3 linked regions of the Xenopus tropicalis genome follow. The protein of the gene in region 3 purifies or fractionates together with the protein of the main gene of each other region. This does not show direct contact. Links are inferred from orthologs where the notes say so. Each region holds a gene or a part of one and is shown on either strand. Other genes may lie near its edges. The genes, in order: lin7c, cask and arhgef26.

Evidence for each region.
Region 1: the proteins of arhgef26 (region 3) and lin7c purify together in Homo sapiens (affinity purification with mass spectrometry; 3 studies listed by BioGRID and IntAct, counting the BioPlex papers as one, with this or other methods). This does not show direct contact. The link is inferred for Xenopus tropicalis from reciprocal best matches to the Homo sapiens genes ARHGEF26 and LIN7C.
Region 2: the proteins of arhgef26 (region 3) and cask purify together in Homo sapiens (affinity purification with mass spectrometry; 3 studies listed by BioGRID and IntAct, with this or other methods). This does not show direct contact. The link is inferred for Xenopus tropicalis from reciprocal best matches to the Homo sapiens genes ARHGEF26 and CASK.

Annotation. Positions count from the first base shown.
Region 1 is NC_030680.2:21,042,794-21,049,918, forward strand, and holds the end of lin7c (protein lin-7 homolog C), read left to right. Parts: intron 1-2,478; coding exon 2,479-2,597; intron 2,598-3,630; coding exon 3,631-3,702; intron 3,703-4,047; coding exon 4,048-4,257; intron 4,258-4,704; coding exon 4,705-4,860; 3' UTR 4,861-6,929; downstream 6,930-7,125. UniProt on the Homo sapiens protein: Plays a role in establishing and maintaining the asymmetric distribution of channels and receptors at the plasma membrane of polarized cells.
Region 2 is NC_030678.2:56,648,928-56,655,791, forward strand, and holds the end of cask (peripheral plasma membrane protein CASK), read left to right. Parts: intron 1-3,623; coding exon 3,624-3,800; 3' UTR 3,801-4,932; downstream 4,933-6,864. UniProt on the Homo sapiens protein: Multidomain scaffolding Mg(2+)-independent protein kinase that catalyzes the phosphotransfer from ATP to proteins such as NRXN1, and plays a role in synaptic transmembrane protein anchoring and ion channel trafficking.
Region 3 is NC_030681.2:116,988,286-116,995,410, reverse strand, and holds part of arhgef26 (rho guanine nucleotide exchange factor 26), read left to right. Parts: intron 1-2,434; coding exon 2,435-2,587; intron 2,588-4,126; coding exon 4,127-4,256; intron 4,257-5,608; coding exon 5,609-5,683; intron 5,684-7,125. UniProt on the Homo sapiens protein: Activates RhoG GTPase by promoting the exchange of GDP by GTP. Required for the formation of membrane ruffles during macropinocytosis. Required for the formation of cup-like structures during trans-endothelial migration of leukocytes.

The sequences.
Region 1 (7,125 bases), on a different chromosome or scaffold from region 3:
GCAGAGTGCCATTGAGCCCTATGGGAGACTCCTTGGCCGGGTTGGAGCCTGCAGAGTCATGGCAGAGCCTTGGCCGAGAGTGCCATTGACCCTATGGGAGACTTTCTGGGCCGGGTTGGAGCTGCAGAGTGCCATTGAGCCTATGGGAGGCTTTCCTTGGGCCAGGTTGGAGCTGCAGAGTGCCATTGAGCCTATGGGAGACTTTCCTTGGGCCAGGTTGGAGCTGCAGAGTGCCATTGAGCCCTATGGGAGGCTTTCCTTGGGCCGGGTTGGAGCTGCAGAGTGCCATTGTGCCCTATGGGAGGCTTTCCTTGGGCCGGGTTGGAGCTGCAGAGTGCAATTGAGCCCTATGGGAGACTTTCCTTGGGCCAGGTTGGAAGCTGCAGAGTGCCATTGAGCCCTATGGGAGGCTTCCCTTGGGCCGGGTTGGAGCTGCAGAGTGCCATTGAGCCCTATGGGGAAGACTTCCTTGGGCCAGGTTGGAGCTGCAGAGTGCCATTGAGCCCTATGGGAGACTTTCCTTGGGCCAGGTTGGAGCTGCAGAGTGCCATTGAGCCCTATGGGAGACTTTCCTTGGGCCGGGTTGGAGCTGCAGAGTGCATTGAGCCTATGGGAGACTTTCCTTGGGCCGGGTGGAGCTGCAGAGTGCCATTGAGCCCTATGGGAGACTTTCCTTGGCCTGGAGCTGCAGAGTGCCATTGAGCCCTATGGGAGACTTTCCTTGGGCCAGGTTGGAGCTGCAGAATGCCATTGAGCCCTATACTTTCCTTGGGCAGGGTTGGAGCTGCAGGGTGCCATTGAGCCCTATCTTTCTTGGGCCAGGTTGGAGCTGCAGAGTGCCATTGAGCCCTATGGGAGACTTTCCTTGGGCCGGGTTGGAGCTGCAGAGTGCCATTGAGCCCTATGGGAGGCTTTCCTTGGCCAGGTTGGAGCTTTCCTTGGGAGCTGCAGAGTGCCATTGAGCCCTATGGGAGGCTTTCCTTGGGCCGGTTGGAGCTGCAGAGTGCCATTGAGCCCTATGGGAGGCTTTCCTTGGGCCGGGTTGGAGCTGCAGAGTGCCATTGAGCCCTATGGGAGACTTTCCTTGGGCCGGGTTGGAGCTGCAGAGTGCCATTGAGCCCTATGGGAGACTTTCCTTGGGCCGGGTTGGAGCTGCAGAGTGCCATTGAGCCCTATGGGAGACTTTCCTTGGGCCGGGTTGGAGCTGCAGAGTGCCATTGAGCCCTATGGGAGACTTTCCTTGGGCCGGGTTGGAGCTGCAGAGTGCCATTGAGCCCTATGGGAGACTTTCCTTGGGCCGGGTTGGAGCTGCAGAGTGCCATTGAGCCCTATGGGAGACTTTCCTTGGGCCGGGTTGGAGCTGCAGAGTGCCATTGAGCCCTATGGGAGACTTTCCTTGGGCCGGGTTGGAGCTGCAGAGTGCCATTGAGCCCTATGGGAGACTTTCCTTGGGCCAGGTTGGAGCTGCAGTGCCATTGAGCCCTATGGGAGACTTTCCTTGGGCCGGGTTGGAGCTGCAGTGCCATTGAGCCCTATGGGAGACTTTCCTTGGGCCGGGTTGGAGCTGCAGAGTGCCATTGAGCCCTATGGGAGACTTTCCTTGGGCCGGGTTGGAGCTGCAGAGTGCCATTGAGCCCTATGGGAGACTTTCCTTGGGCCAGGTTGGAGCTGCAGAGTGCCATTGAGCCCTATGGGAGACTTTCCTTGGGCCGGGTTGGAGCTGCAGAGTGCCATTGAGCCCTATGGGAGACTTCCAAAATCATATATTGAAGTTTCAAAGCCAGTTTACGATCGTTCAGAAGAGGGATGTGGGGTCGGTAGATAAATTCTCCGACTCCTCAGTTTCTGATACTTCCGACTCTGACTCCTCTGTTTTTAATATGTAAAAAAAATATGTATTTTATACATTCATAGAGGCAATGAAAAGCTTCATGGTCACTCAACGTGTTCGTTTATGCACTGCGTGCATTGGGCTTTATTCTTATAGCAGAGAAGTAATTAATTATTACTGTTTGTGAATTGGGACATTTAAACTTGCTTTATTTTTTATTCCCATTTAAATTTAGTCGGAGTCGGTTCATTTTTTTCCGACTCCAGGTACCCAAAATTGCCTCCGACTCCACAGCCCTGGTTCAGAAAGGAAAATTTCAGATCACAACCACAATATTTTCATACGAGAGGAGTGGTTTGGAACGAGGGACTGGAATATGAATAGTAGGGGGAATGAACAGAAACCTGAATAATAAAACAGTAACAATAAAACTGTAGCCTCACAGAGGGTCAGCGACCCCCATTTTAAATCTGCAAACACTTGGAAGAAGGAGGCAAATAATTCAAAAACTATAACAAATAAATAAATGGCTATTCCAGTTAATGAATGTATATGAGAAGGTTACATATGCCAACTCCTGTATTTGGCTTTACATCCCCTTTAAATTCTCGTGTGAAATAACAGTATGTTTTCCTTCATGTTTCCAGATGTGCACAGGGCCATCGAGCTGCTGGAGAAGCTACAGAGGAGCGGGGAGGTGCCGCCACACAAGCTGCACGCGCTACAGAGAGTCCTACAGAGTGACTTCTGCACCGCCGTCAGGGAGGTACGCACCATTCCCCCTAGGTCCCCCTAGAGTGCAAGCTCTCCAGCCCTGCTGTAGCAATGTGGGGCTATACACAAACATCACCCCTTGACTCTAAGGGTGAAGACACACAGAGCTACTAGTAGCAGCTACTTATCGTGGCTACTAAAATAGACAATGCTGATCTTTTACTGATAATTGTCTCTACATTGGGAGGGGATTTTCTGGTGTTTAGTAGCCATGAAAAGCTGCTACTAGTAGCTCCGTGTGTCTTCACCCTAATTGTTTTCCTGCATCCAGCGACACCCCACTTAGGCTGCCTGTGTGTGAGCACAGCTGGGAGCCCCCCTTCATGCTGGATATTTTGGGCTTAAAGGACAATAAAACCCTCTGACCTGTGCCTTAAATGTGCTGTGTATTATAGTACTACTACGCATCTGTCTTTTAGCCTATTCAGCGAATCACAGTAAAGGGCTGCTGTACGCTCTATTTTTCTGCTGCATTGTGCGCAATACAAGGGGTGTCTGTAGGGGGAGTACTTCTGTGCTATCCCTCAGCACAGGCTATGAGCTCAGTTTACTGCTTGCCCCTTGATGGCTTTTTGTCATGTAGTTATGTGCAAACTGTGCAACCTGTGGGTGTGGCCTAGGTCAGGTGGGTTAAGTCTGGGCGACCATTGCGGGTTCGGGATGGGTGTGGGTTAGACTATGGAAGTGCACTGTTCCCCTGATCCTGAAGTAGAGCATAGAGACGCAGGTTACAGGTTGGGTGCGGGTCCTACAATGGCAGCATTTTGCACGTTAGGGTCCGGTGCAGGTTGAGTTTTCCCTGATCACTGTGATGCTTCACTAAGGCTATAGGTGTTTTTTAAAGGGACAGTTGACCTTGAAACCCAGTGATCCCTTTAACCGTAGGATTTCTGGTGGCCAGAGTTCCAGGCCTGACTCATTAGGAAGCCTATGAAGTCACATTGCTGCCTGCGTTCACCTCTACATGTGAAACAGCCCCAACAGCAACTGTTGCATCTGACAGAGTCTTCATTTAACTTTTTCAGGTTTATGAACATGTTTATGAAACGGTGGATATCAGCAGCAGCCCAGAAGTGAGAGCTAATGCCACGGCGAAGGTGAGTAAGGCTTCGTTTCCTGTCTGTCTGTAGCGCCGTGCTTTAGCCACTAGATGGCAGCATGATACCACTGTTTCTTTGCATTACACATATATTGCTGTATTAATCTGGTCTTCATAGAGTTCTTATGTATTGCGTACGGACACACAGTTAGTCTGCATTCAACAGAAGATTTAGTTTAAACAACAGCATTCTAAGCGCGCAATCTTGTGTTTACTTAGACATTTTCTATACATTTAATTTTCAATAAAATTAACTTGTACACACAAACACGTGCGCCTATACATACCTACCGATACACTCGTGTATATATAAAACTATATATCTATACTCCATGTTTTTCAGGCTACTGTGGCTGCCTTTGCTGCAAGTGAAGGCCATTCCCACCCCCGAGTGGTGGAGCTCCCCAAAACAGAAGAGGGCCTTGGATTCAACATAATGGGGGGAAAAGAGCAGAACTCCCCCATCTACATCTCTCGTATTATTCCTGGTGGGATTGCAGACCGTCATGGAGGACTCAAGCGTGGGGACCAGCTGCTTTCTGTTAATGGCGTGGTATGAACATACCTCCTATGCTCGTATATTTCAAGCACTTCTAGGAATAGGCTGTAGCTAATAGGACATATGCTGCAAGCAAGGGGGGTAAATAGGGAAAATAATCATACTTGTACCCATTACACGTTATGAGCTGCTCCTGCTATTGAAAGTTCCATTCATCTAGCCACACCCCCAGGCAGGCCCAGACTAGCAATCTGTGGGTTCTGGCAAATGCCAAAGGGGCTGCTGTAAGATGCCATAGACAGTCACTATTTATTGGCCTGGTGGGGGGGGCTGTTTGGGCCTCTGTACTTGAAATGCCAGGGCCTATTTTGACTCCTAGTCCAGACCTGCCCCCAGTTACATGATTCAGGGCCCAGTGATGTCATAATTCCGCATTTAACCCCTGTTAGCCCAGAGCTCTGCTTGCGTTGCTGAATTACATTTGTGTTTCTGCTTTCACAGAGCGTGGAGGGCGAGCACCACGAGAAAGCCGTGGAACTTCTGAAAGCCGCTCAAGGGAAGGTGAAGCTGGTGGTCCGATACACGCCGAGGGTCCTGGAAGAGATGGAGTCCCGGTTCGAGAAAATGCGATCGGCCAAGCGCCGGCAGCAGAACTAGGCAAATGTGTCGGTAGACACAAGACACAAACTCTGAATTCCACTATCCAATAAATTTGTATTGACGTGAGAGGTACCGAGGCGCTGCTCCTTCCAGGCCCACCCTGTGCAGGTCTGCAGCCCCCCCCCCCCCCCCACCCACCACCACCACTACCAGAGCAACTGGTGCTTCTCGTTTTGCACACGGAGTCTCAATACCCAACCAGTCTTTCTAACGTAACGTTTACAGGGCAGTTTTTACTTACCCTCCTTTTTTTAAACCTCAAGAGAATTTTAAAACATTTTTAATACAGTGGCGTAATCCTAGGTTTGTAACGGCAATCTTTGTACTATTGCGATCCTCCATTGTCCTGTGCTTATCTGTATGGTGCAAGGGGCTCACGTCCCTCAGCGGGGGGTCTGTCTATAAGTGGGTGCAGGTTAGTAGCTGGGCAGATACTATAGCGCATCACATTTGTGATGTAAAGTGCAATGTTCTCATTAAGATTGTCTTGTTAATTGAATTGTCACAGACCTGCGTAATGTGAATCTGAGCAACCGAAACCCAAAATATATCCTGTAGAATCATTAGCCTGTCTGTCTTAAGCAAAAATGTGGGCAGCTTGAAAACACGCACACAGAAAGTTCTTTCTGCTTTGACTGCAGATACTGTTGGCGCCACTGGGTGGCAGTATAACGACAGCGAAATACACTACAATGTCTTAGCCCCAGGGATCTGCATTTGTATGGGAAATGTTTTGTTAGAAAATGCTGCAGTCCCTTTCCTTTCCTCTAGAGGGCAGTGTTTGTTTAGCTTTATTCTTTTTAACATTATAATTCACAATAGATTTAAGGCTAGAAAAGGCCCTATTGAGGGGGATTTGATTATTTAATAACCTGGTTGTGTGTATACGTTCATGAAGCTATCCCTAAAGCAGCTTTTAAATAGCAAATATATTGTGTTTATGGTGTGTTTATATGGCATTTATGTTACTTGTTTTGTCTATTTGCATCTGTTCAGAATGCGGGAGATGCTGTTTTGCTTCCCTGTCCCCAAAAGCATTTTTCATTGCTCGGTAGAGTGGCGACATAGCTTGGCCAGGGCAGTTTGCCTCTAGCCCTTGGGCTTATTGCCCTCACTCCAGTTACCATACACCATATAGACTGAGGAATGGGCAAGCTCAGAACAGTACACAGTAGTAGTAGTAGTTCACCTTTAAAGTAACTTTACAATTGGTCTTCTTTATTTTTTTTTAATTCAATTATTTGCGTTCCTAGTCTGTTTCGTTCCAGCTTTCAAATGGGGGTCACTGACCCCGGCAGCCAAAACACTATTGCTCTGTGATCTCATAATTTTATTGCTATTTATTTTTATTACTTATCTTTCTATTCAGGTCCCCTCCTATTCTTAGTCCGGTCTCACTACTGTCTGGTTGCTGGGGTAAATAAGACCCTAGCAACCAGATAGCACTTGAAATACCAAACTGGAGAGCTGCTGAACAAAAAGCTAAATAACTAAAAAAAAAAAAAAAAACTATGACATAAACAAAGACCAGCTGCAAATGGTCTTAGCATATCAATGTCTACATGAAACCAAAAGTTAATTTAAAGGTGAACAAGCCCTTTACCAGCAGTTGTACTGAGCATTACTGAAAGGCAAGGAATATGGCAGTCTCCTATGGGTACGACAAGACAACTTCTCAGGATGGAGAGAGTAGGTTGCAACCGTAGGTACTAGACTTTTTAAGGGCTTCTATTTTATTTATTTTTTTTTTAAGGACTGGTAACAGCAAAAAAGGGGCTTGATATTTGGTGTTACTTACCCTTTAATGCTGTGGCTTGTGACATATTCCCTTTCCCAGGCAGCCGGATGATATAGAAACTTCCCTTTATCTGGTCACGTGGCGGCTGCAATAAACACCGGGCAAAGTACTTTCTTTCTAAAGTGGGGTGAGTGGCGCTGAGCTCGGCCAGACGTCTGCCCGTGTGTTTGCCGCCAACTGATTAGAATCTTCTCGTAATCAATGAAACTCCATTCAGGCACTTGGCTAGATCCATTCGGGGTTTGATTGCATCAGCCCGTGTAAATGATGTAAACAGATTGAAGAGACAGCTGTTAGGGTGAAGACACACAGAGCTACTTAGTAGCAGCTACTTGTCATGGCTACTAAACCCCAGAAAATGCCCTGCCATAGACAATACTGAGACTTGCCTCTGCTAAAACACACACTGAGACAATTATCAGTAAATGATCTGCATTGTCTATTTTAGTAGCCACAACAAGTAG
Region 2 (6,864 bases), on a different chromosome or scaffold from region 3:
GCTCTCTCCTAAGAGGGATCCTGCTCAGCCTCAATTAAGCTCACTAGCATGGCTGCCTGTCAAGCAAAGGATAGCTTACAAAATCCTTCTGCTGACATTCAAAGCCCCTTCACTCCTCTGCTCCTCACTACATTTCTTCACTGGTCTCCCTACATGTTCCTGGTCATCTCCTCCGCTCCTCTCAGAGCCTCCGTCTGTTTACACCATCCACACCCACTGCGCTCTCTCGTCTTAAACCTTTCTATCTCGCTGCTCCTTACCTCCTGGAACTCTATCCCTGAATCCCTCCGTAGGGAACACTCACCCACTCTCTTTAAGAAAAAACTCAGCTGTTACCTTCTGGAGCACTAAGACATTATGCCCATACATGAGGCACTCCTACCTTCCAGTTTGTGCCTGTATGTTACCCAACCACTCAGATTGTAAGCTCTACGGGGCAGGGATCTCCTTCCTACTGTGTCTCATACCACATGGCACTTATATACATATATATATATATATACATATATGTATTTATTTATTATATCACTCGTCCTCCCTGTGTGTAATTTTGTATTCTGTAAGACTGTACAGCGCTGCGTACCCTTGTGGCGCTTTATAAATAAAGTTATACATACATACATACATACATGTACCTTGTTGTACTAATGCAGTCGTTAGCCTCTTCCTGCTTGAGTTAAATGGACATTTAGGTTTCATTTAGCTTTTTTTTTACCATGCCTTTCTCCATTGCTTTAATAGGAAAGAAGGAAGCCTTATAAAAGCCAATCGGTGGCAGCCCTTACTAGCCTCCATGGATTGCTTTATACTATCCCCAATACATCTTCAGTCCATTAAGGGAACATTTATGATTGCTTGAACCTTTTGGCTTGAGCAATCAAGGGAAACCCTGTGTGAGTTGAGGGTTTCAGGGGAAAATACCTTAAGGTGGCCACACACGTGGCGATCTGCAATCCGATTCAGCCCTGATGGCAGATTTTGCTCAGGCGCCTTCTATGGCGCCCGATCAAAATCTTTTGACCTGGCCGATCGGCGAGTCGACCGATATGAGCAGCCTCCTGCGATACCAGTCAACTCGCCGACTTGCCATACACACACCGAATATCGTACGAAACGAGGTTTCGTACGATATTATCGGTGCGTGTATGGCCAGCTTTAGTTAGTTGAGGTTAAATAATAAATGCCTGAAACTTTTTATTATTTAAGAAAGCCCACTTAGGGGAAAAAAAAAGCTCAACCAACAAATCATTTTTACCTGAAACCCTATGTGAGTTCCTTTGATTGCTCTAGCCAAAATGCTTAGGCAATCATAAATGTGCCCTTAAGTCACACACACTCCTTCATAAGCTACTGAGACTTTAGTAATTAGCATAAATTAAGGAGCCTTCATTAGCTTTATCCATCCATAGATCGTGAACCTGAACTGATTACCTAATATCTAATGTAATCCAGTTAGAAGCATGCTGCAGAATGTGTTGGCTGGAAGATGTTTTTTACATTATAGCTAAAAAGTTGTGCAGCATGTGGCTTTAAAGGAACAGTAACACCAAAAAATAAAAGTACTTTAAAGTAATAAAAATGCACTGTTGCCCTGCACTGGTAAAACTGGTGTGTTTGCTACAGTAACACTACTATAATTTATATAATAAGCTGCTGTGTAGCCACGGGGGCAGCCATTCAAGCTGGAAAAAAGGAGAAAAGGCACAGGTTACATAGCAGATAACAGATAAGTTCTGTAGAATACAATAGTGTTTTATCTGTTATCTGCTATGTGCCTGTGCCTTTTCTCCTTCAAATGGCTGCCCCCATACTACACAGCAGCTTATTTATATAAATTATAGTAGACTTTCTGAAGTAAACGCACAACTTTTATCAGTGCAGGGCAGCAGCACATTATATTTTAGTTACTTTTATACACTTTAAATTTTTGGTGTTACTGTTCCTTTAATACAGACAGATAACACTTGCAGCATTTTATTCAGAGTCCTACCGGTTGTGCCAATCATGCTCTTGATGTACTGTCCTGGGTTAACATGTACTGGGGCCATATATCCTAAATCCCGGGTGATTAGTTAATTTGCAGAAACAAGTTACCACTGGGTTTCACTGCAGCCATGCTGTATGCAGCAAAATACATTATTAGCCAGGCAGCGTTGATTTGGATTCATATGTTTCTGGCTTTACAGAATGAGGCAACAACCTTAATCCACTGCATCTTTAAGTGATTCAGTAGGTTGGAGAACCTATCAAACAATATCTTTATTCTGTTAGTTTTATACTCAGCAGAGGAGCGGGTAGAGAGTGAGACTTTTGGTTTTACAAAGAAAAAAATCACATTGTACAAGGTGTTGTGTCAAATTCGATCTTTCTATGAAAAAAGTCAGACCCTTAAGGTGGGCATATACTGTGCAGTAGTACCATTGTAATGTTCTGTTCCTTTGGTACAACCACCTGGCAATTTGGAAGAGCAGGAAATGTGTAGGGAGAGCTGTATCTTTTCTCTTCCTGTCAACTGACTGAAGGAAATCTCTAATTGGCCACACAACTTGAAATACATGCCCAGTAAACTCGAAGAAAGGAATGCCCACTTAGAAACAACTAGGCTATGATTTGGTGCCTTACAGCATGAAATACGTAAGACTTTTATGGACATGTAAACGTTAATATATATGTTTTATTTGACCTGAGCCTGTCACGTTGGATCTTTGAGTGCCTGCTCATCTTCTGTATATGCATGCCCAACTGGTCGGGCAGTACTGATATGTGGGTTGACTATTTGTCGACCTGCAACAGACCCTAACCTGCCCCACTTCCACCCATGCCCGAACTGGCCCTCAGCTTTGCATCTATTTTTACGGACCTGGACTCGACCTGACATCACTGAGGGGATGGGGCAGGCAAGTGCTTATAAATAGCTAACACCAGACCTGCGCACACCTGTGACCCACAAGTTGGGTGGGTTTGAAATTGGCCAAAACGCTATACTAAATATGGGCATGATGTGCCTTCTGAGCACCAGAAATTAAGGTTGTGTTGCTCTCCATATAATGGATTTTTTTTTTGCTTTGTAACAATAGTTAATAAAGCAAAGTATCAGAAGTTGGTTGTTTGTGTAGCAGAGGGTTAACAATAGTGTTTTCTTCCTCACTGTCTAATGGTAGTTGTTTGTTTTATAACATGGTTCTGTATAAAAGTATATTGTTTATTTGATAAAGGAAAAGGATTCTGTTTGAAAAGCTCATGTAGAATCTAGGCCATTTGAAGCTTAGTACAGGTATGGCATCTGTTATCTGAAATGCTTGGGACATTGGGTTTTCTAAATTATGAATCATTTCGTAACTTGGATCAACATGATAGGATTCCTTTCACTGCAACAGAACCCCTTTAAGTCTGCTTAAAAACCATTAAACATGAAATAAACCAAAGAAGCCACCAATATGGATTCATGCAGTTTAGGTACATCAAGTACAAGGTACTGTTTTATTACTATAGGGAAAAAGGAAATCATTTTAAAAAATTAAAATTATTTGCTTAAAATGACATCACGGATTTCTAGATAACCGATCCCATACCTGTACTAAATATTGAGATTTTTTTTCTCACTTTTTAATATTACTTTGCAGGATGAGTCTCTTCAGCGCCTGCAGAAGGAATCGGAAATCCTCCAGAGAACATACGCACACTACTTCGATCTTACGATTATCAACAATGAGATTGACGAAACGATTAGGCACCTGGAGGACGCCATCGAGCTTGTGTGCACAGCACCGCAATGGGTTCCCGTATCCTGGGTCTATTAGACCACTCTCAAGATAACTGTCAGCATTTTATTACTTCAGACCACCTTGTGCAGTACTTGGAGAAACCTCTCGTTGACTTTTTCAACCATTCTTGGCCCCTAGAGACTACCTATATGTAGTGTGGCATAAATTTATAATTATCGTCATGTCCTATTAGATGGAAAAGAAACCTAAGCAAATTTTAATGCTAATTTAAAGAGACAGTATCTTTTTTACCTTTTGATTTATCCTAGATTGTATTAAAATAACATTTTTGAAATATATGCATTAATCAATTGTTTGGAATGTTATATTTTTGGAAACCATTGGGTTTTTTTTTTTTGTTTCAAAGGCCTCTGAAAACTGCACAAAATGATATGCTGCTTTCTATTATCTATTTTAATAATGTAAACATTTGAGTTTTTCTTTTACCAGGGGTGTCACACTACATTCTTCTGAGAGTCTTAGGTCAAAAATCAGATTAGCAAAGGCACTATTTAATTTATTGGAATAATATAGCCTGCATCTATTAAAGTGTGAATTTCCATGTCACAATGCCCTTTTTATTTTAGATGGAAAAAAACCCTTTACTGCATACCGCTTTTATTTGATACTGTCTCTTTGAAGAAATCTGTAAACTATTAGAGATATGAAATCGGGTCTTAATGCATGTGGACAGTCGCAAGCGTTTATACTGTTGGTGTATCTGTGTTGAACAAAGCTGTAACCTACTTACAGAAACATACATTCCGTTCATGGGAAGTCGTACCCCAAGGGAACTGAATACAATGAATATAACCAAGTTGTAAACCTATGCACATCCCTTGCATTTTGGGCAACTTTATAAGAAAAAAAACAGAGAGAAATGATTTTTATTATTAATCATGTAGTGAAATGTGTTTGTAACTTTGTCTCAATTTAATTTGTTGTAAACAGGAGGGTAATGACTGATTCTTTTGCCATTTCAGATCCGTGTTTGTCTGAGAGTATTAACGTTTTAATTCAGTTGAAACAGAGAAATGCTCTTTGTTTTTTGTTTTTAATGCGTATCTAATTGTGACAAAATGCACAAGTTTTCCGAATGTGCGCAAGGCGGTTGGGGATTCCTATCAAGTAAATATCCCATAGGTTCTATTTAATGAAGAAAAAAAAAGAAAAAAAAAAAGCCCTGTAAATTCTTCAGAAAAAAATGAAAAATGATTATAGTCTGACCAATATTTTATTATTTTTTTTAAATATACTTCCTTTTATGTGTTCCATAATAAAAATGCCTTTGGGTCATTCATTATTCATCAACATGGCTGGGAAATAAACCTGTCTTAATTCTGGTAATGCGTTGGATGATTGTATAGTTAGTCTAGTGATTGCATAGTGTGTTTGCTCCGAGGAAGCCGCCGTCGCTAGGCAAGACTTCTCTCTTCCATTTGCTCAATACAATCATTGAAATATGAAGCACAAGTGTATATGTTTAGGCACAATGAGATGAACTGCAGCTGTGAATGAAACTCAATTTCATACTTTTGAGCGATTTAAAGAAAATCTCTACAGTCAATAATATGTAGTAAATAAAGGGTTAGTTTTATTTATATTCTTTCAAGGCTAAGACAAGTCAATTTTTAAACCACATTTATATGGGGTCTTCCGGTAATCACTTTCTGACTGAGCTATACGTCAGTATATTCTCTTCATATGAAGGTTTTATCCATATTACTGTATTCTCTCTCTTTATTGGTAAGGGCAGTGTCCATGGCCAAACAGAATTATATCTAAGGACCAAGTATAGGTGAGAAAATGTGTTTTATTTTGTTTGCCTACCAATGCCGATGCTTCTGTTCATGTGAAACTGGTACTGTATAACTGTGCCGTTGCCCAGTGTGTTTGCCTAAAGCTTCTTCCAAATGGTACGGTCTAAAGTTCTTTCTTTTTAAGAGATCAAGTCCTGTTGAATGTGGTTTTTTATCTTCTGGCCATACTGTGTTACACACCAATTGTGATTGTCTTCATTAAACACTTGGGAATTTTTTTTTTTTTTATAATGTCTTACTGAAAACACCACATTTAACTGGGGTAACCATTCATTTAGGGGTTTGCTAGAATGAGTCTCCTGCGAGACCTGTTTGACATAGGAAACATATCAATAACATTATCTAATATCAAAGCCTCTCCTCCGCAATGATTTTATAACTGTGTCGCAAGGAGACACTACTGGTGCTAGAGAAAATATATATATATATATTTCATGCTTTTGCTCAGTAGGTTTGTTTTTAATACATCGATATCTTCCAAACCCAGGGAAGTCCAGCCTGCCACCCATAGCTGTTACTAAGAACTGCAGTTCAGCAGTAGCTGGAGATTGGACGGCCCTCTTCTGACCTACGTCTGGTTTTATTGTTTTAAAATGTTGCCAAGAAAATGTTTCCAGTGCCTGTTTATAATCCTATAACATAGACTTTATATCCATGTTAATTATTTCAAATGTACGATCATAGCATTTCACTAGCCGTCGCTTCCACATACCTTTGTTTTATTGCATGTTGGGAAATCTGTCATCGCTTTGATCGTAGCCAAGACAAAGGGCTATATGTCATTTAATTGTGCATATAAATGAAAGATTAATTGAACATCAGCCCTTCTGCCATAACAAATTAACGTGTGGTCCAGTTCGTTCTTTCAACTTCCACACCAGTAATTTCTGGAAGTAAACTGTGAACATGGGTGGCATTATTTTTATTGAATACCAGTTGTTTTGTGAAAAGTATGTACATCTGACTAAAGCATATGGGTAACAAATATCTTAATCCGTTCTAGAAGTCTCAACTGTACATAATGAATTATAAAGGAAGAAACAGACACTGTTACTTTGTAAAATTGGTTAATTGGCATTAAACCAGGTAAAATATCGTTGTAAAATGTTATCCCTGTGTGCAGTTTTCTGTGCAGCGTTGTCATTTCATTAAAAAAATGTATGTGCACATAAAATAAAAAGCCCAGCTAGTGTATGTATTTTATATGTATATCATTCTATACATTTATCTACTGAGAACCCTCCCCCCCCCCCACAAAGAATAAGTTTGAATGCTGACCA
Region 3 (7,125 bases):
TTTAAAAAAAAAAATGTTTTTAATCTTATTTAATGCTTTAATCTTGTGGCTATTTACCTTGCAAGTGTTTTTGCTTGTTTGAATAGAAATAAAAACGAAACCATTCCTATGGCGTGGTTCGCTGCTTCTTTGTATTTGTTTTGCTGACACCTAGGTGACACATGACATTTATACATTGTAAACATATATATATTGTATAATGTATATATCATAGTATAAAGTGGCCATAATCCAGTTGGTACCTTCTTTTATCTGCAGCTGATTTCCTTTGTATGAGATAAAATTTTGTCAACGTAATGATAGTTTAGATTTTTCAGAAAAGTTAAATAATATTAAATAAATAATATTAAATTCCCAATAAATTCGGACCCTTATAAAGTGAACCACTTGGAAGCAGACACCCAACGTTGGGATTAGTAAGTCAGTATGTGAAGTGATTTTGTTTAATAATAAATATGTTAGACCTTATGTCCTAGGCAAAGCAACCCACATTGGATGTACAGAGGTTACACCAATGTGAAGCCTTAAAGTGCTCTGTGCAAAAATCCCGTAGAATCTTACCCATGTGCTTCAATTTACTTGTTTTTAAGTTAATTGCCTCAAAAGGGAGGGTCCTGTTTATAACATTCCACCACCTGTCCCTCCCAGACTTAAAGAAGCTGTATACATACCAATAAAACCTTGTTTTTGGCCCTACCTTGAAAATGAAATCCTAGTACACTTTCTCCTGATTATATATGTAAATGGAATGGTCCTCCCAAAATATACTTATTATTCTCATAAATTATTGTCTAGGCGAAACAAAATTGGGTGCAGATTTAACAGATTCACATTCAGTCACCTAAATGGAATAAAGTGCAACTAAACATATATCCTATTCCATAGATAGAGAGTATAGCACTTATGTTTGTAATGAATATAAGTTATTAATAACATAAAATGACAAGGAGCAATAGGAGTTATCCTGCCTGTGTTACCAAAGAGCATCTTGAGCAACAAGAGATCAAACAGAAACAATAACACACAGACTTTTATCTTAGTTTGGTCTTGGGAAATGACATGTATGAGTTTTTATGACAATTATAAACTTCATCTGACAAATTCAATTATTCCATCTGCCATGTTGCCCAGTCAGTCTAACTTTATAAGCCTCAGATCTGAGTATATTTTGCTTCACAGGACGCTTTGTACACGTATTTGCCAATTCCTAGTTGGACTTCAAAATGAATACGGAAGGAACACTTGGCTGCTTAGACATCTCTGGCCATCTCTCTTAATATCTCTGGCCAAGTGGGGAATTATTAGTCACCTGGTATTTAAAGGAAACCATAGGAAAGTAGGAAACATAAAGATTAAGTGGGACTGGTCAGTATAACAATAGGTGATATTCTGAATGCATAGCTAACATTTCAGGCACTATAGAAATGCCCATTAACTCACCATCAAATACTGAGCCCATACTATACAAAGTGACAAAGTTACATCCTAGTGACTTAAAATTGACTTTGGGAGGTTATGTCCTCTTGAATACCTGAGTTGGTGTCTCAGCTGATACTCACTGGTGTCTCTGTTCCTGTATGCTCAAGTTACTCACAATTTGAGTGACTTTAACAAAATTATCCATTTGATCACAACCTTATACAGTAGAGAGTCATAAAGACTTGCATATTGTAAGGTTTGATATTTTGTGGTCTTAAAGATGATAAACTAAAGATTTGTTTTATCAATAGATGTAACATTATAAGGACTAAAACTGACATTCAGAATGTGGACTAAACCTTGTCATCCAGGATTATCCAGAGCACTAGCTTCTTCTCAGTGGTTTACCATAAAGTATAAATGAGTCTAACATTACTTTATATAGTTCTACATGATATAATATTCCTAACAACAAAACATTCCTTATATATAACACAAACCTAATTCTTATAATTCCTTTTATACTCCATTTAGTATATTTATAAATAAGCTTTAATGTGAAAAATATCTTAATTTTAGATGGTTATCTTTTTTTTTTTTCAATAAGTATTTTTAAATGTCCTTTGGAACCTCCAAAAAGACCAAAAGAACTTAATGTTCTGCAAATGCTGCCTGTGCTGTGCCTCAGAGCTGCTCCTATTACTCAACATCATAGTTACGATGGGGATTAGCATGAATAAACATTGTGCTTGGCAACCAGCGACATAGCTGTAATATAATATCTTGCTTCTTCCTTTTTATTATTATTTGAATAATTGTGCCAGGTATCAGACATTCATCTTCCGCTGCATGGAAAATAGACCATTAAGTGTCAAGTACAGGTGCTTTCATTTAACTTGTAATTAGTGACTTTAAGCTGTAAGGCCTGTAAATAAAATAGCATTACCCAATTTCCTAACTCCTCCTCCTCTATGTTCTCCTTAACAATAACTTAGAGTTTTGTTTTGTTGTACAGGTTTTTTAAAGAGCTGGAAGGAAGACATCAAAGGAACATTCTTATAGAAGACATTAGTGATATTGTTGAAAAGCATGCCAAGGCAACATTCGATCCCTACGTGAAGTATTGCACTAATGAAGTCTACCAGCAAAGGACGCTGCAGAGATTAATGTATGAGGACGTGGCAGTAGATCTATAACTTTCCTCATTATTTTATTGGTTGTTTTTGTTGGGGGTGGGAGGTTTTCACCGCTCCATGCAGTTATGTAGTGTTTTATTTTCCTATATCCTGAGCAGTCTATCATTTTCTGCCTGGGCAGATTAAAGCAGGCGTAACAAATATAACATGCTGTTTATACTAAGGGGAATTTTTTGTTAATGTTTATGTCCTTGATTTTATGATCAAATGTCCAAATGTATCTAAAACAGAGGGTCTTGGCAGGAGGCTCAGGCTGTAGAACAGGTTGTGTAAGATTTGGGGACTCTGTCTGTTTGCTCTTCTAGATGCCTCTAAAAGCTCCACAGTTAGGGTGAAAAATTTATTGTTGTCCTAGAACTCTTGGAACTTGGGAACTACAGAAAGACACTGATATTTTTCTTTAGAACCATATTATTAGCTAAAGTGGCTCATAACCAAAGGCTTTAGACTTTAGACAGTCTGCCAACTGTTCTACCAACTGTCTATATTTTAAATGTTAAAGGAGAACTCTGGCTTCAGACCCAAAATTTGTTAAAGAGCCCTGCACAACACAGAAACCCCTAATATACTGTAATAGGTATATCATCGTTTGAAACAGTGATGCACTGAATCCATTATTTTTGGTATCAGGCAAACCCCAAATCCTTTGTGAAAGATTCAGCTGAATACCGAACCAACTCCGAATCCTAATTTGCATGCCCAAATAAGGCTAAGGAAGGGTTAAGTAGAAGCACGCCTAATTTTTTCTTTAATTTCTGTGTTCTCATGACCAAAAGTCATGTGATTTTAAGGATTCGGTTTGACCAGACACCTGGATTCGGCAAATCTTCACTGAATCTTCACTGAATCTTCACTGAATCCCAAACCGAATCCTGGATTCAGTACATGCCTAATTCGAAATTCTGCCATGGGAGGAGGGACTAAAACACTGATGTTACAAATCCTAACACATTTTCCGCAGCTTACAGGCATCATGTAGGAACTACATACCCCACAATGCACTGCACTGCAATATTCCTTTCCTTATTGACATTAAGGGTTATATTTATCATGCTGTGTAAAAAGTAGAGTGAAGCATTACCGGTGATGTTGCCGAGGGCAACCAATCAGCAATTAGATTTCAACAATTAGAAAATAAAGCAAAACATCTGATGCTGCTATGGGCAACATCACTGGTGTTGTTTTACTCCACTTTTTACACTGCATGATCAATATACCCCTAAGTGTGCAGGGAATTGGGGGATTTAGAGGATGCAGGCTGAGGATAGTCGACTGGTGTAACAGCCAGATCTGCAGAACTGGGGGCAGGGCTTAGGTAACCGTTCCAAACCATATTATTAAATGAAAAATCATGAAAAGGCTGCAAATTTTTTAACTGATGTATATTGCAAAGTTGCCTAAAATTATGTTTGCTCTTCAAAAAGCTTAAGTTGTTTTTGGGTGGAGTTCCCCTTTAATGTTTTTGTTTGTCTCAAAATAGTTCACTAATGATATTTATCTTGCTAATACAGATTGACCAATTCATCTTTCAAAGAAGCGCTGTCTAAAATTGAATCGCATGAAGAGTGCAGGAATCTTCCAATGATCTCTTTCCTTATCCTTCCTATGCAGAGAGTGACTCGCCTTCCTCTCCTCATGGATGTAAGCATTTCAAAGATACATTACATTTCATGTAGAGGCACATTATTGTGAACAAATGAGTAACTCACGGAGTGCAGGCACAAACAACCGCTGATAGTGTAATATTGAATTAATCCCACAAGATAAATATAAAAACCCGCTCTGCAAATTGATGAATTCCTGGCATAGTATTCATGTGCTCTGTAGTCTGAGAGGCTATCTCTGCTTATGTAGATCTACTGATGCATTCAATCATTATCTTTATATTTAAAAAATAGCACACAAAGTTCATATCATAAAATCAATCTAAAAATTCCACAGCCTATCCTTTATATTGTGCAACTGTTCAAACTTTAATACATTATTAGAATTATTCAAGCACAAGTGTCTCAGAAGCATTCTGATAACCACATAGTAACATGAATCTACACAGTAACATAGTCATTTAGATTAAAAAAAGGCACTCTTATGTTGAGTTCAGCCTTTAAAATGAAACCTACCTCAAGCAGTTCATCTAGAGTGCAGAGTTTGTTAGTTTAGCAGAGTGTATTCCATTGTGGCCATAAGAGATTCCCGCAAGCTGGTAATGACTGTAATCATAAAAGAGGGTATATGGTAGACGACTTGGTCTACCAGTTAAAAGAGCATTTAACAGAGACAGGCAGGAAGTTGTTATCAACACCTGGAATGGGCTGTAATAAAAAAGCAGGTTTTGTAGTTGATATATTCATTTAATTATTGCTTGGTGTTTCAGATCACTTTGGTTACAATTCTCTTGCTGGCGACACTGTAAATGTTAAGATCTTCTAAAGAGCTAGAGACTGATCCTATATAAAAACAGACTTTGATGCTCTAGTGTCCAAACTGCCATACATCATTAGGGCTCTGGCACACGGGGAGATTAGTGAAATCGCGCCGCCGCGTATGCCATCCCACCGTCGATTTACATTTTTGCCGGTGGGATGGCAATCCGGGGAGGTTAGTCGCCCGCGAACAGGGAGTTTTGTTGCGGGTGACTAATCTCCCCGTGTGCCAGAGCCCTAACAGTAGCAATATGTTATCAACCCTGCTTTCTACTCTGTCTACAGGGACTCCAACGACCTTGCCCAAAGTGTCATTTTTGCATTTCCTTTGTACCATATTCTATTAGACTGAAAGACTAATCATCAGAGTTTGAAATAAATAATAATGCCTTACATTTTATGGTCATGAAGTTGGCTAGAATTATTCCAGTCTGTTACTCTAGTTCCTCAACGTTTAACAAGGGCAAACTATAATAGTTTTCTGTTAAAGATCTTGTAATTTGAATTTGCTTATTTTTAGCTGAGCACGTAGAGAATGCAGAATGTAACACTAAGAATATTTCATTCCAGACAATATGTCAGAAAACCCCAAAAGAGTCTGCTAAGTATGAGGCAAGTAAGCATGCTCTAAAAGAAGTTGGGAAGGTAAGTGCCAAAGTTCTTAATTGTTTGTAAGAATATCGGTAGAATTTCAATTGTTGCATTCTAGTGCCCAGTAAGACATACATTTATTTAAACCTATACTTGGCTTGTATCCAAATGCCGACCTTTCCATAAACATTAATGGATATGTTAGTATGTAGTGCAGAGATGTTATACTGCAAGCTAAGGGGCCCATTTACTAAACAATTTTCAGATAAATTCATATTTTTTCTAAATTATGAACATTTTGGAGTGTACACGAAAATTTCCTTAAAATTCCACAAGTTTTTTGTGGTTTTTGGTAAATTTCCACAAAAAAAACGTACTTTGCGCAAAGAATATGAACATTTCGGAATTCGTTAACGCTTTGGTTACACTTTCATCGGGACTATATTTTTGACAGGTTTGATCTGTCGAGTGCCACTGAGCCAGAACTGTTTTCGTGGCGTTTATGAACTTTTCAGAACACAATATTTTCGTACAAATGATGAAAGCATTGTCGAGACATTTTAGAACTACAGAAATTATCGTGGTTACTTCAAATTTATACCATATAGTGTTTCAAGGCCTGAAACAAATCTTTAAATGGGCCCCTAAGTGTGCCTTTACATGGTGTAAATGAGTTCATGTATAACGACTAGCAATTGCTCTGTTAGACATAAAAGTGAATATTTTATAGTAATATTATGAATCAGGCTGTCCATATGCTTTGGAAAATTACATTTATCAGCTCTTCTCTATAGTATTTGCATGTCTGTAGTTGTAGCTTAGTTACAACTTGGATACTTTTAATCAGTGTCTGCCTTATATGTGGGTTACAGTATATGCACCAAGTCCAAATTTTAAACATGTTAAGACTTATCACCACCCAAGGGTATTGTACATACCATCCAGTGGTGTACTATGTCTTTTTAGACCAAAGAAGTTTTAAGGATTTATATTCTGAGGCCTGCAGGTACTTGGACTACACCATTTTGCTTGCTGTTACTAAATCCAGGCAGTTTTCTTAGTTATTGAATTCCTTACCTTTTCGTGAGACCTTGGTTGTGTATTTACATGCCTTCATGTAATTCATTTTCAGCTATGTGATTAAATCGATACTGTAGTCTCTGAGAAATTACCCTTACAGTGTTAGAGTCCTAGGTTCACTTTCTGCAAGGAGTTTGTATGTTCTGCCTGTGCCTGTGTGTGTGTGGTTTTCTTTTTGATACTTCCATTTCATCTCACGCTCGAAAAATACATGGACAGATTGAAAGTGAAATATCCTGTAGTGTGCATTGGTGTGTGAATGAAGAACAATTTCTCTATAGCCCTTAATACTGCTGAGTGATGTCAGGAGATCTACATTCAAGTCACTGGGGAGGCTGCTTCATTCTGTTTGGGGCTACAAAAAAAAAATAATAATAAAGACTCTGGGTTATTTATAAATATTGGGTACATTTGCA